Linked DNA regions of Coturnix japonica. Each later gene encodes a partner of the first gene's protein in a complex. Links are inferred from orthologs where the notes say so. Each region holds a gene or a part of one and is shown on either strand. Other genes may lie near its edges.

Evidence for each region. The genes of interacting proteins can lie anywhere in the genome.
Region 2: surfeit locus protein 1 (region 1) and CMC1 share a complex: the UniProt entries of both Homo sapiens proteins name them as parts of the MITRAC (mitochondrial translation regulation assembly intermediate of cytochrome c oxidase complex) complex. The link is inferred for Coturnix japonica from reciprocal best matches to the Homo sapiens genes SURF1 and CMC1.

What each region holds. Positions count from the first base shown.
Region 1 is NC_029532.1:5,411,700-5,420,067, forward strand, and holds surfeit locus protein 1, read right to left. Parts: upstream 4,397-8,368; 5' UTR 4,331-4,396; coding exon 4,268-4,330; intron 4,081-4,267; coding exon 4,002-4,080; intron 3,882-4,001; coding exon 3,754-3,881; intron 3,622-3,753; coding exon 3,539-3,621; intron 3,451-3,538; coding exon 3,259-3,450; intron 3,109-3,258; coding exon 3,036-3,108; intron 2,737-3,035; coding exon 2,574-2,736; intron 2,293-2,573; coding exon 2,211-2,292; intron 2,011-2,210; coding exon 1,944-2,010; 3' UTR 1,564-1,943; downstream 1-1,563. Other genes in the region: RPL7A (60S ribosomal protein L7a), read left to right, coding at 202-271, 727-831; SURF2 (surfeit locus protein 2), read left to right, coding at 4,490-4,576, 4,764-4,918, 5,085-5,188, 5,339-5,542, 6,112-6,281, 7,003-7,086. UniProt on the Homo sapiens protein: Component of the MITRAC (mitochondrial translation regulation assembly intermediate of cytochrome c oxidase complex) complex, that regulates cytochrome c oxidase assembly.
Region 2 is NC_029517.1:35,703,282-35,710,383, forward strand, and holds the end of CMC1 (COX assembly mitochondrial protein homolog), read left to right. Parts: intron 1-1,746; coding exon 1,747-1,837; intron 1,838-3,373; coding exon 3,374-3,488; 3' UTR 3,489-4,525; downstream 4,526-7,102. UniProt on the Homo sapiens protein: Component of the MITRAC (mitochondrial translation regulation assembly intermediate of cytochrome c oxidase complex) complex, that regulates cytochrome c oxidase assembly.

The sequences.
Region 1 (8,368 bases):
GAAGCTAGAGGTTTAGCTTATTAAATAGGGCGTTATTATTAAATGTATAAGCTGAACTCTAAGCATTGATGGCTTTTGTGATTAACCTTTTGTTATACTTAACCTGAAAAATGATGTTCGTATTAAGAGTTAATTCCAAGACAGAAGACTTACAGAAAACATTAAACTGATGCTCTAAAGAAATGCATCTGTCCCCAACAGGGAGGATAAGGGTGCCCTTGCAAAGCTGGTGGAGGCTGTTAAGACCAACTACAATGACAGATATGATGAGGTAAGATGTGTGGCCCTTGTCTTTCAGGTTCATACTATGAACATCCCCAATAGTTTCTCAGTAAGATGCAGATTTCTGTTTTGGAGTGAGATCAGCTTAAGGCCTGTTGGGTGTAGACTGTAGCTAGGGGTTTTTTAGGTATTCAGATAGTTTACCTGAGGATGGGGTACAAAGTGAACACTGTCACCAAGAAAGAGGTAAACAGAGCCTAATGCAAGGACATGAATGTAAAGAGATCTGCTTCAGCTAGACGTGATTCCATCCCTGAAGTCCTGAAGCAAATCTCATGATAGGGAAAGGCTTTCAATTGTCGTATCTGTGCTGCTCCCAGAATGTAATTCACTGCTTTAAAAATGAGTGAGTAGGAGTTCAACCTTTTGTCATGAAGGATTGGAACTGAGCACAGTTGAATGTATGCAGACTCTTAACTTCAACTTGTTCTTCCTTCTTTGCAGATCCGTCGTCACTGGGGTGGTAACGTCTTGGGTCCAAAATCTGTTGCTCGCATTGCCAAGCTTGAAAAAGCAAAGGCTAAAGAACTGGCTACTAAGCTGGGCTAAAGATGTACTGATTTGGTACCATGGTTTGTGTACATAAAAAGAATAAATCCCCAGATCAAATTTTAGTGGTCTCTTATTAATGAGGGTTGCAATCAGTGGGTTGCGAATGATCATTACCCGCCTTCTCTTATCCAAAGGGTTGGATAGAACAGCATAGAAGGCAGCAAAGAACACATTATTTCCCTTAGAACAGTTTCCCTTGGCTGTTAAGCTAGCCATCTGTTTGCCTCCTTTAAGCATAGACCCACAGCTGCACATACTGGTGCTCCTACACTGAATGGGCTAAGCTAGGCTATTTCTGGCTTTAAGCCTAGCTTAGGAATGCAGATATCTGACTTGGAAATAGCTGTAAATCATTAGTGCCTAGCCTTAATTACTGCATGGATTTAATAAAGGCATGTTTGTGTAGTTGTGACACTTAAAAGAACTAAGCAAATCAGGACCTTTATAGGTTTGTAATGTCTCTTTTATGACAAGACCAGACAGTGAAGGCACACTAAAGGAGTGGAAGAAGTATCTAACCCTACTCCAGCTCTTTGCTGACTGTTGGCTTTGGTCTTGTGGCATTCTTGTCAGCCCAAGCTGAGGCAGCTCTTAGTTATTTCTGCCAGCCCCGATAATGTTGTAAAGCTACACACTCTCTTTAGTCAAACTGGAGTCTGCAGTTGTTCCATTTAATTCAGATCTGTCCCCTTGTTAAGTTGTAAGATATGCAACAAATCACAAGGCAAATACTAACAGGCCTGTTTTATTTATCCTGATGGAACTGCAGTGCCCCCATCTTGGCTTCAGGAACGACTGCTAGGTGAAAAATAGGGATTGATCAAATCCCTTGCCCTGATTTGTTTAGACTGAATATAGAAAATACAGCAGTGGAGAAGAAAAGGTTTTGTAGCTTGTGACCAAACTACCCAAATACAATAGAAAAATGCATCCTTCAGATGATCACAAAGCTGTTGTAAGTAAGTGTGTCAACACCCACCATTAATCCTGATGTTCAAACTGCTGCCAGCATCAGCTGTTACGTCCCATGCCCTGAGACTGAGCTCTTCAGGATTGATCTGGCTGCAGTCTTGTCTGTATTACAGGAGAGCAGGAATGAATCCTTCCCCTCATACAGGTACTTTTCGTATGAATTTTCTGTACCACAAGAAGGAAGTTGCAGCACACAGGCCGTACCTGTGACAAGGAGTGAGAAAATACATCATCCAAACATATACAAACAGTTTGCAGCTGAAGATCTCATCAATCCCCCTGATACGGGAGCAAGAATGCTGGGGGGAAAATTATTTCCCTGCTTTCAGTGGATTCAACAGAAAGCATTTTAAGGCTTCATGTTCAGAAAACAAAGGTCAGACGCTGCTGCCTGGGTAGCTTACCAGGTAATGATGTACTGCATGTGCTCGTTTCTCAGGCTCACTCTTGTCTGGCCTCCAATGGGACCTCCTGGGACTGTGCTTCCTGTAGGTACAGCACAGCGTCAGATGTTTGGTCTGCAAAGCCCTGAGCTGCCCATGCTCTGCCAAGTGAGCAGCTCGGTGTGATGTAGGTCACAAAGATTGCCCGCTTCTCTGGGCAGCGGTGTTCCCAAGTTAGCAGCAAAGCCAGCAGCTGTACCTTCAAAACCCTGTACAGTGAACTTAGTACAATACCTCTCAAAAAGCCTTAGGAGAAATACATGATGGGGAAAAGGGGGAGACTGTCATCAGTTGGTTGTGGATTTGGGTTTCTCTGTGACTTACTGAAATCTGCATCAATGAAGATGGGCTCAGCACCGGTCACCTTTGCCATGGCCTCCAGGTCACGGTAGTGCCAGCGGTTTTTTTCAGCGTTATTTTCAGGCACAAAAGGTTTCCTTTTTTCTGATAACCTCACCACCCCCGTGAGATCGATTTCTTCTTCAATCTGAAACAAGAAGAAAAAAAGGAATCTCTTGGGATTCATTTCTTAACATACCAGGACCTGGTAGTACATCACCTGCAGGTCTGGTTACAAGTCAGCCAGCAGGTTGTGCTGTACAGTGCTGTAATACAGCAGGGAAAAAGGCAGATGCCTTATTTCCTTAATCAAAGGCTTCGAGAAAAGGCACCTCTAAGAAGCGCAGTGACTCAGGAAGCTGAATGTGTCTGCTGCCTGTCTTTGTTTGTTAGAAGTGGGCAAGAGGTTAGAAAGTAACATGCAAGGTTTCCCTGTATCCCTCTTACCTGTCCCTTCAGCCTGGTCTCTGGTTTCAGTTTCTTTTTGGGCACGAATCCTCTGTTGACTAAAATCGTGACCCTAGAGTTACATAAACAGGAGAAAAACGCCTTGTGAATTAAAGAAAATTCGTGCTGCTGTCTACAGCTATGAGGAATTGCAAATACAATTTGGAATCAAGACTCAAGCACCTAAGAGACAGATGCATTTTAAGGGAGAGCCTTAACTCACCCTAGATCCGTGCAGTAGAAAGGAGTAATGACGTTTGCTCCATTTTCTGCATGGGATGTCAGCCTTCCAGCTTCTCTGGCTTCTCGCTCAGGGTCCACAAGTGACCGTGGTAAAATGTAGAGCTCCTTGGAGTGATCAAAATGCCCTCGGACCTTTACAGGCCTGTACTCCAATTCCTTCAACTCCATAGGGCTGCAGAGAGCAAGATGAAATGAAAATCACACCTGTGATAGGCAAATTACATGGGTGGATTTCACTATGGAATTCTCAGCTTCCTTACTCTAATGTCAGAGGGATGGGCTCTGATGAAAGTCTAGATGCCAGCTGTGCGATCAAATCTAGTTTCCATTTTCGACGCTGAATCTAGAAGTACACAAACAACAGTAATTCCTGTTCTTTACCCTGCCTATGGTACGATCTATATCAAACAGACAAAGCTTGAAACCTTACAGCCCCAAAGTGCTCATCTCTGATGAATGAAATACATGCTGATACCTGCCATGTGCCGAGACAGAATGCAGTCAGGGGCACGAGGAGGAGGCCCCACTTCAGCCAGATGTCCTCACTAGATGCACCGGTGGCTGCTGTGGAGCTTCGTGGGCTGCAGAGCCTCAGGCAAACATCTGCAGAGAGCCAGAATGAGGCAGCGGACAGGAACAGGAGGAGAGGTGCTAAATTCCTTAGGAAACATCATACTGGTGTGAGGCTGAAAGCGACAGAACCCCACACAGATCTCTGCTCACCTCTCTGCTGGGTCACTGCAGAACCCACTTTGGTTCGGGGCAATCCAAACAACGTCCTTCTGAGCAAGCAAAGCGATACCTAAGGGAGCAATACAACATCCAATGCTGTAATTTGCCTTTATATAAATGTTGGGCGAGCGCCTTCACTTCTTTCTTCATCACTCGGTGCCCAGCGGGGCCCTTCCCATCCCCTTCAGAGCCCTCACAGACCCTGTCTGCCCCCCTCAGAGCCCACCCCGGCCCTGCCCGCTGCCCTCAGCTCTCACCCGGGCCCTTCGCTCCCTCAGCAGCCTTGGCCCCGCTCGCAGCATCAGCCCCCACGTCGCCATGAAGCAACACCGCCACCCCCCCACCACCCAGGCTGTCCCCTCCCCTCTAGCTCCCCCTCTCTATGGTACCGGAACCCGTACCGGAAGTGAGGCGGCTCCTGTCTGTCAGCGCCTCTCTATGGTCAGATCGGTCCTTGCGGTTGTCAGCTCGGCGTGGCCATGGCCGACGTGGTTCCGGAGGTGCCCGACGAGGTGCGGCTGTTCCTGCGGCAGCACCCGCTGCTCAGCATCGAGGAGTCGGGCAAGGTGGGCAGGATCGGTCCGAGGATGGAGCTGGGGGTGTTGGGTGGAGCTGGGGCCGTGAGGGGAACGAGGCTGATCTCAGTCTTCAGGCCGGAGGGGCTTCTCTCGCGGTGTAAATAGGGTTGGGTTATTGAGGAGGGCCCCCCCCCCGGCTCATCGCTGGGCTCTAATGGAGGTTCCTCGCTCTCAGGTGCGGTGCCGGCTGACGGGCCACGAGCTGCCGTGCCGGCTGAAGGAGCTGCAGGCTTACACCGACGGTAGGAAGTACAGGCGGCTGATAAAGACGTCCAGAGAGTTTGATTATAGCAGCTTCGAGCCGCATATAGTGCCCAGCACAAAGAATATGTAGGTATTCAGGTGTGTTCAGTCTCTGTGGCTGAGCTTTAGGGAGTTCCTGAGCACATGAATCTTTTATTTGTTACACAGCACAGTTCGTTTTAAGTGAAAGGTTATTATTAAGTAGTTTGTTTAAACTGTGTTTGTGGCTCTTTCTCCTGTATGTGTGTCTCAGACATCAGCTGTTCTGCAAACTCACCCTCAGACACATCAATAAGCTTCCAGAGCACGTCCTGCGTCACGTCCAAGGGAAACGCTATCAGAAGGCACTGAAGGCATGTGAGTGGGCTGTACCTTCATTAAAGCTGCTTTGTCCCCTGAGCTGTTGAAGTTTTGACGTGCTTCTGAGTTGCATGTGGGCCTGGAAGTAAATAGGACTCGAGGGTTGGGTTGCTTTGCTAAGTGCTGCTCAATCTGTTGCATCTTCAGATGAGAAGTGCCAGAAGGAAGGGGTGAAGTACGTCCCTGCCTGCTTGAGGCAGAAGCAGCAGCGGAGACAGCATGATGAGGACCAGGTGAATGGGAGCAGGCAACCTCACAGAACAGAAGAATTCTGGGAGCCAGACTCTCCCAGGACGGATGAGGATGAGGATGGAGAGGAGACGGACGACAGCATGAGTGATCTGTACCCACGTGAGTAACAACATCGCGATCTTAGAGCAAGTCTGTCAGCTCATTCTCTCACAGAGCCTTTCTACTGCTGCTGGCTGCTCACACTCTGGATATGTGACCTCCATCCAGTTTGAGGTTCTTGGATTTGGAAGAGGCTTGCCAATGCTGAATGTGAAATAGCAGTTATCACACAGTAATACCAGAGCTGGATCCCATAAGGTATGAGGGGAGGGTCTTCACTTTAGATATCGCTGTTTGCCTTGTTTCTCAGCGAGTCCTCCAGCCTGACAGGAGTTGGTGAGGCTGTTCCACTCACATCTGGACAATGCTGCCTTGCTGTAGGAGAGCAGAGCTTTGAGATCCCAGATCTGCCTGTGTTGCCTGGTTCCCAGAACTGGGCTAGTGAAAGCCCCAGGCATTTTACTAATAAAACTTAAGCGTGTTTGTTACTGAGTATTTCAGTATCGACGTATATGATGGGCTGATCCTTGCAGGCCAAAGTCAGCTTAGATGAGTAGAAAATAAGGTTCGGGGTAAGCAGAGCCTGTGTGCACAAAGAACTGATCCTGAGCTAAACCTTTGTATTTTAGCTGGACTCTTCCCAGAAAAAAGCCCAGCAGCTCCACAAAACACAGAGGCCAACGATGGTTTTGCAACAGACAGCGAGGATGATGGGGCCGAGCTGAGCAGGGAGAACGGTGACCTGAATGGAGATGGTGGAAGAATGGATGTGAGCAAAGCAGCTGGCAAGAGGGGAAAGGTAGGAGTCATTGCTGTGCGTAGCAGATGGGGAGCATGAACAGCCATCATCTATCCTGTAGGTGGTTGTCTGATCTGTTCCTGTCTGAGAATCAGCAGAAGGTGTAAATCTATTTAGGAGAATACTTTCTCCATGTGCCAGCCACAGACTTGCATCCTGAGGTGTGAATTAGTAGCAGTAAATGTTTATCCTGTCTGCTCCAACTGGGTTTCTTACTTCCTGTATAAATATCTTCAATTGAATCCTGCTGCACTATCTTTACAGTGAGACTGTGGGTTTTGTAATCTTCCTCTCCACACACACACAAGCTGAACTCTCTCAAAGTCCTGGAGTCCTCCACTTGAGGAGCTGACCAGGTCCTGCCTTTGGGTGCACTTACAGGAGGGAAACAGACACATTATATACATGAGGGTGAATAAACTCTCTCAGGAAACCCTACGGGAGGGACTGGAGCCTTTCTAATCATTATCAACATTGAAAGTTAAGGCTGTTTATTTCTATGGGGAGAGGGTCATTGTTTGCATCTAATGAAAACATATATGTGTCAGAGATGCTAACTCACAAGACAGGGCAAGAAAACACCCTGGCTTACCCTGTGCCCTGGGCTGTGCTTGTTCTGTCTCTTAGTAAAGGAAAACACACTTGATTTCTCTTTAAGCAGCCTGGGGGCAAGGCTGGGTTTAGTTCCTGGAAAAAGCTGATTGACTTTTTCTTTCTACAGAAACAATCAGGCCCTTCAAAGAAAAAATTCAAGAGCTGTCATCAAAAACCCAAAAAGTTCAAGAAAACAACCAATGGTAAATAAATTTTTTATGATAAAAATGCAGCGTGAAGCTTCTTGTGAAACAGTTCCAGATGGTGCACAAGACCAAAGCGTTCACCTGTAAACCCTGCTGCCCATAGCAGTTAGTTGGTACAGCAGGGAGGAGTAGCAAGGGGGAATTAAACTGTGTGTTAACGCTGTCTCTCCATCCACTACTAACAAAACAAGAACTACCACTACAGTAACATAAAGGCAAAGCCACTGCTTGGAACTGTTTATGAAGAGAAAAAGCACACATGTTTAAGGGTCACTAGTCATACACTTCAAGTGGATACAAAGATGCCATTTGTTTTTATTTTGATTGTTTCAAAAATCAAAACATTTTCAAACACAACTAAGGTACAAAATACAGCATAAAATGAGAATTTATACTTATTTTTTTTTCCACATAGAAAGCAAAAATATATTCAGAATGAATTCCAGAACGCTTTGCAGAGCCAATTGATAGCTGACATCCTGTTTCTCAGCCATTGGGGGAGGTCACTGTATTTTAGGGAGATGTGTGAATACAGCAGTGTATGTAAGATACCAGAATCTTCTGTACCAGGACTCACAGCTCTTAAGTCCACATATTGTGCTGCCTAGAAATACCTTATAATGCCCTCCACCTTACCGTGCCTCTTCAGGCAGTAACAGTTCCCTTTTCTGGGGTCTTTCATTAGAAGTTGAACTCTATTTTCACAGAGGCAACTGGTCAGTATTCCAGACTAGTCCATCATCCAGCTCCTTAGTTAGACAGGACACAGAGAACAAGCTGAGGAAGATAACTTAGGGCTACCTACAGAAATGGTTTCTACCGTTCAATTTATAAATACTACAAACACCAACAGCAGTTGAGAGATTTGAGAATGGCTGCCTTGATGTAGTCTATCAGTTCTAAGACCTGCAGTGAAACTGAGCAAAGAACATCCTGTGCTGCACATCAGGAATTGAAAGGACTAGTTTGGTTTGCTATGAAGAGACAGGCACAATAAACACTTGAGGTAAAAACCTCTCCTGCAAAACCTATTTAGAAAGAAGCCTCCTAAGTGACCTGAACTTCAATGCTGGCTTCCTCTCATCTACCCCCACATACTCATCTTTCTCCTCCCCTTCATCAGCAGCACATCCTGCTGTTACATGGGATGCTTTTCCCTTAGGATGATGGAATCGCTGCTTTAACACTTAGCAACACTCTTCTATTTGCCATTTGCTCTATTTAGCCTAGTTTTCTCAACCAATAAATAACCATTCAGGAGAACTGTCCAAGCCAGTATCCTTACCA
Region 2 (7,102 bases), on another chromosome or scaffold:
GTCACTTTCAAGTCACGGGTGTCCATGATTCTAGGAGGTATGCTTTGCCCCACTGACGTTATAGTTAGATTAATGCCTATTTTAGAGGGGAAAGGACAAAGGTCCGAGCAAAAGGTAGCATTTTTTCTTGATGGTTTTTGTAGGCAGTGATCTCTGGCTTTTGGAGGGCTTGAAGAATATGCCCTATGAGGAGCAACTGGGGGAACTGGGGCTGTTTAGCCTGGGGAAGAGGAGGCCAAGGGGAGGCCTTATTGCTCTCTTCCAGTATCTGAAAGGCATTTAAAGTGGGAGCGGTGTCAGGATGAGGGGAAATAGCCTCAAGTTGTGCCAGGGCAAGTTTAGGTTGGATATCAGGAAAAACCTTACACAAAGGGCAGTTAAGCACTGCAGTGGGATCCCCAGGGAGGTGGTTGAGTCAGCATTCCTAGCCGCTCTAAAAACCATTTGGATGTGGTACTCAAGGACATGATTAAGCAATGGGTTGTTAGAATTAGGGTAGCATAGTGAGGTTGTGGTTGGACTTGACTTGATGATGTTTAAGGTCTTTTCCAGCCTGAGCAATTCTATGATTCTATCCCGTTCTATGCCGTTTACCATTTGCATTAAGTTTTGATGTTACCGGATTAGCTGTAAGTAAGTATTACTAAAGATGTTTGAACATAACGATTTTTATATGACCTAAATCTGATGCATTTAAATAATTATCAAGAAAATCTTGGATATGAAGAAATAGGTGGAATTCTGGAAAAGGACTTTGTTCTTGATTTGGTTGCTGGTTATGTTGGACTTTATCTCCGTACTTTTCTTTTTCCACCTGTTAAATGCAGATAGTTGCTAACCTAGAGTCCTCATAAGAGATAGATGATTGTCTCTCCTCCCTTATATATTCTGTTGTTCCAAAGATCATAATTCCAAGAACTTTGAAGGTGATATTTTCAGGGACAGTGCTCCTTTCTTGGCCATTTGGACTTACTTTAAAGAAGTTCAGTATCAAAGAACACCCAGAGGCTGCCACATGACACAGAGAAGATGGCAGTCCTCTGTGGAGTACTGTAGTGCCATAGAGCACAGTGTGGCAGTCCCAGCTGATTAACTAACTAACTGCTGCACTCCAGGAGAGAATCATGTCCTCACAGTTTCTTACCTTGTATCTCAAAGATGCCTTCTCAGAGGTGATTGATTGGCAGTGACATTCCTTTGAGACAGTAGTTGCTGTCACTGTTACTACACTCTTAATTTGTAGATGTAAATGTACTTTAATTACTCCAAAATAATTATTTCATTGAAGAGGAAATGCTGGCAATCCTGGCTTACCTAATTTTTCATGCTTCCTTTTGTTTTGCTGCGGTAGCCCTGAATAGTCGGTATGAAAAGCAGTCTAAGAATCATGGATTTGCTGCAAGAGTAGCTTCATAAATTTGTTAGTATTAGCTACAGCAGCGTATGCACACATTGTACGATATTAGGGGAGAATCCTAATTAAAATCTTGTTGCTCAACAAGCCACAAAGACCTTATAAATAGCATGAGGCTCCAGGCCAACTACAGCAATGTTAGTAATAAATCAGGTCTGATTTGTGAGGTGTTTTTTATTATTTTTACTTTTCACTATTTACTATATATATATACTATATATATTTACTATTCACTATTCCATACTTTTCCATGGAAAAGCATGCACACAGGGATTTTGATTTCTTTATTTTACAGTCATTTTTCTAATTCTGATGTTTTTGTTTTTCTATAGCATTTACTAAATGCTGCAAAGAAACTGGTTTTCTTATGGTGGTGAAGTGTCGGGAAGAGAACACAGCACTGAAAGATTGCCTCGTTGGCTAGTAAGTCCTTTCTGAGCCTTTGTTTTGCTCCATGTTTTTGGCTGTTCTAATGTAGAACTGAATAGAAATGCTAAATGTTCTAAAAAGGGCTTTGCTAACCTTGTGACTTTGGTTTTTTTCTGAAGATCATATCATCTTCGCTTTAGAAGAAAGGATGGTGGTCATGGGTTCTACCTGACAAGACTTAATTTCAGAAATAAAACTATCCTATGGCTAAAAAGGCCTCCTTGCATTTAAATAGTGCTAACGGATCCAGAATCTCAGCCCCAATGAAATGCAGCCCTGTACTCAGTGTGCTGAATTGGGGATGTGGGTGAACAGTGGAAGCACCTTCATATTCTGTTACAGAAACAGGATTAGATCATTCTGGTTTTACTTCTTGTACTGTCTTTCAGTATTTAGTCTTTACTTCAAAAGCATCCAGCAGTTGTTATCTGCAGTAGGAAGTTGTTAAAGAGGGTGACGTGATGCCATGATGGATTGAAATGTCTCTATTTGAAGTCTAATGTCCCTGCAGTGTCACTAGGCCAAAGTTATTCTTGAATTTCTTATTGTGGAGTTTGTGTTCTCTGAACATTATGTGGGTATGGGTGGATTGGGTTGTGATAGAATGCATGTCATATGTACACTGCTAAACCAGAGGTTAATGTTTAATGCCTTTAATGTAGTGATAGGTGGAGTTACTTGTTTGAGAATTGATGAAAAAAAGGTACAGCTACACAACAGACTTGAACCTTCAGAGTCAAGCTAGAGACAAAGACAACCTTTCTCTTGATAATGTCAAATCCTATGCCAGTTTGAAGACTATGGAGCACAGGGCCAGTTCTGACTGGATTATCCTACTACACCTACCATAGTCTGAAGGTGGCATCTTCTGACTTCCATCTGTTTGGGCTGATGAAAGATGGACTGCATGGACAACATCATAGCAGATGTGAAACAGTGCAATCATAGCAGATGTGAAACAGTGCAGACTTTTTACAAGTATAACATGACGTGCAGGCTTTTCTTCATCTCTGGTTAAAACTACATAGCTAACAGAAGTGACTACACGCAAGATAGCATTTTGTAGCTTAGAATTTTCTCTATCAAATAGCATTATTGTGTTCTTTATGTCTGTTGTAGTTTCCCTGGAAATAAATAGAAGACATTACTTTTGGATCTACCCACACACATTTACTGTTCAAGATGCAAACTCAAAATCGTTCCCCTAAAATTCATGTTAGGTTCGCAGGTGCATAAAGATCAGTGCTCTCCAGAGACTTATTTGCAGATAGGTTCCTATGTATAAGAAAAAATTATTTGGCTCTACTGAATGAATATTTCCCTTTCTTTGCTTTCCTCGTTATGGTTTCTCTGCATAGGCCTGAAGAATGAGAACTATGCCTCAAGAAAGAGTGTGCTCAGGAGAGAACACAGACCAATTCAGTATTTAGAGTTTAAGATGATAACTTTGGGTGGGACTGAAGAGCAGTTTTGAGTGCTGTTAATACAGTTTCTATTCTGTTATTCTAATAATGTTCATCTTTCTTTTAGCTATTCTGATCCATCATTCTATGAAGAATGCAAAGCAGAATATTTGAAGCAAAGAGAAGAATACAGAGCAACTGGAATTAAGAAAAAAAGGCAAAAGATTACTTCAAATATATAGTTAAAATTTAAAATGAACTGTTACAGTTTTATATCCAACTTAATGATTTGACTTGATTTAAACAGACTTTGAAATCATCAGTATCTTGTGGTAAAATTTAGCAGCAAGTCAGTAAAAGAAATATCTCTGAAGCTGAAGGTTCTCATTTTCTGTACTCAAGTTTATAATGCATGCAATTTCTCTTGCAAACCTTGACAGCAAAAACCTGCTCCTCCATCTGGACTTGAGATTTTGTTACCAATTAACAAACAGCCTTTTGAAATTTCAAGCTTGTATCTAGTTATACGTGGCAGGCTACATAAAAATTTAAGGGTGAACAAATGTGAGGTATATATGAAAACTAGTCTCTTCATCACCTGACATTGAAAGTACCTGGAAATATTTTTGATGCTCTTACTAGATGTGTGGTAAATGCAGAAGACAAGACCTTCTTGGACCAATTTACTTTTTCATGAAAGCACTGAGTTGTAAGAGCTCAATATTGCTTCTACCTGCACTGTGACTTAAATTCTGAGATTACAATATGAAAAGAGATGGATGTTTCATGTCTTTGTATGGCACAACTGACTGCTTCAGCTTCAGAGTCAGCTCCAGAGGAGAACTCAAGAGTTGTCCCATACGGCCTTTCCTTGAGAGTAGGAACAGGGCAAGAAATCACTGAGAAATGTCTTCCCCCACTATCATTTTTTCATCATGAAGATTATATACACTTCCATACTTCAGGAGCGACCACACTTGCACAATGATTATGGATGAGTAAACAAGTGAACTACATTCTTAAGATGCAGGTCAGTTTTTAAACATCTATTAATACTGTTGCAAAAACTAACCATAAACAAGGCCCTATATGGAAAGGGACAAGGATTTCTTGCATACAGATACTTAAAACTGCATAATTGTAGACCACTAAGTAGTATGAGTATGGAAAGGCCACACACAGGGTATTTGTTCACATAGTGAATTTCTTGTCACGATATTAAAAATGAAATAGAAATATCTTTTTCCTAATTAATAAATTTTGGAACATTTGCATTTAACTTAGGTACTATTTCACCACAAAACTATTACTGCTGTGAAGTTACTTAAGTGGGAAATTTCAATCAGACTTTGATATACTTATATATACATACATACACACACAAGCTGAAGTTAACTTTCAAGGTTACTCCTTGCTTTTGCTCTGTGCATTGTGATGGTACAATCAGTAATATTACTTCTGCTATGAGGCAGCACACTGTCTGAAAGTTTAGGGAATGCTTCAGAAAGACAGACTTGAAGATGTACCTGTATTCTAGGTAAGTAGACAAGTGGTATTCAGATGTTTAATTAGCTAACTTAGATGATGACTTTTACTGTTAAAAGTTTATTATTTTTTCAAGAAAGTTCTGTTATTTTAGTATGAAAACTGGCTACACTTAGAAGCCCCTGGAGAGAGAGCCTGTGTTTGTCATTTTTATCAAAGGCTCTTAGAGTTTGGTTCTGGGGTAAGCACATAGAAGCAGTGTGGTACACTGCCTGTGGTAGGTAGGTGCCAGCACTGAGGGCTCATAGGAATCTTGTCTCACTCAAGCTCACACAACAGCCAGTCAGTACAGATAATAGCACAGCAACACAGTCACTCTTTTGTGGCTTAGCAGAACCTACATTCAGCAGGTGGCAGGAACCCCAGTGCACTGATTGGTGCTGGTGATAGAAATAACATGGATAATGGGACAAAGTCCTTTTTTACCTGCAGGTGTTACTCCTCTGCCATTTTGTTACATGCTTCATGTGCACGGCTATAACCAGTCCCTTTGAGCTGACAGTAAGCAAGCTCACTTTACTATCAAGCCTGAAATTGCTGTAAATCATTCACTGTATGCCATTCACTTCTCTTTACCGACACATGTTTAAGAACCAAGTACCCACACCTTCCCTTGTTTGCTGTGGCATTCAGAACTGGGCTCAGCCCTTACCTATGAAATCAGCTTACTCTTTTTACACTCATAGCCTTCATTTGCTTTTTTCCTAGTTTTGAATTCTTGATTTCACACCTTTCGTGCTTTTAGTATATTAATTGCATTTACATCTTTTAAAGTTGAAATGAAAGTATGTAAGTGCTGTGCAGTGACACACACATACTAGTAAACTGCTTCAGGGCTTGTTTTAATTTGAGCTGCAACCTCTCCTTCCTACTCAGGTTAACAGGAAGTAGCCCTTGATTCTAATACAGGTAGTAAAGCATCAATAGTACCAATAAAGCCTTAAGCTATGCTTAAGTGAGAAGCAGGCTTGCTATTTGACTACACAACAAAACACTAAGCACACTCAGCTGTCTTACTCTGACTGACAGTAGTCAGACGTGGGTGATGAGGAAGTTGCGTTACTTCTAAGCAGAAGCCTGCAGCAAGTTACGAAGCTTCCACTGTAACTACTTTCAAGGGGACCCACATGCTGCTCCAGTTTAAAAACCATCCACCTTGTGGCACTAAAGACATAATTCTATCAGTGGTAATGACTGTCAGTATCAGTTCTGGCTGTCGGCCCCCCGAAAAAAAGTCAAATACAGTTGAAACAAATGGTTCATCCACTCGCAGTTTAGTAACAATAAGTGCCTGGTTATTTTTCATGCTTCTCCCCTGGATCAAACCCCATACTCAAAAACACCATCACCCCAACTACTACAGCATCCTCTTCCATTAAAAACACAGGTGTCTAAGATTTCCAAAGTCTACTGCAAGGAGTTTGAGATTTAATCATACCTTCTTTACATCTCTAATACAGCTCATATGCTATTATTTGCATTGGCTTCTGTTTTACTGTACCTCCACCAGATGTCCAGTACACAGCTTGCCTTTTTCCTGCTGTACAAGTTCGACAGCACATTACAGCTCATTTGAGAATTTGTTTTTCCTCAGTATGGATATTTCATATGGGAAAAAAACCACAATCTGTCATAAACACAATAAAACTGGTAGGGAGACTTAAAATGATGAGATTTCAAAAATACTTAAAAGGAATCGAGCAACCATGGAAGTTTACATACACATTATTAGAAGGTTAGTCCAACTCTGAAAGCACTCAAATACATATTCATCAACTTGCCATATGCTCACATAAACACTCAAGGCAACAACCACCGCCTGCCCAAAAGCTGCCTTTCATTTCTGTTCAGTAGAATTAGTGCTTTCTTAACTTAATAATTGTCAAACCTGTGGTTTAGGTCAAGTTTTCAAATTTCCAGTTTACCTTCAAATCAATTTTTGTGCTTATTTGATGGTATCGGTCCTCATCTCATGCAACGTTACTGCTTGATGCAACAAATACACACTGGCATACTAAACACCAGAACTCCTTTTCTACTGCTACTTCTGCATTTTATTTGCTGTCACTGTGATGGCCACCTTTCACTTCGGAAAATGGAAAACAAGAACCTTGAGCCACCAGTGGCATGGATTAAATGACAAACAGATTTTGACTTAAGATGGAAAGGTGAGCTTCAGACCAACAGATGCTTGTCAAGTGAGCAAGCTCCCAAGTGACTTCAGATCTGGGGACTCCTTTTGAAACATTACATTTTCACCACAGCAATGAGTGACTGCATTGGAAATACAGCCTAAAGAAAGCACTACAAC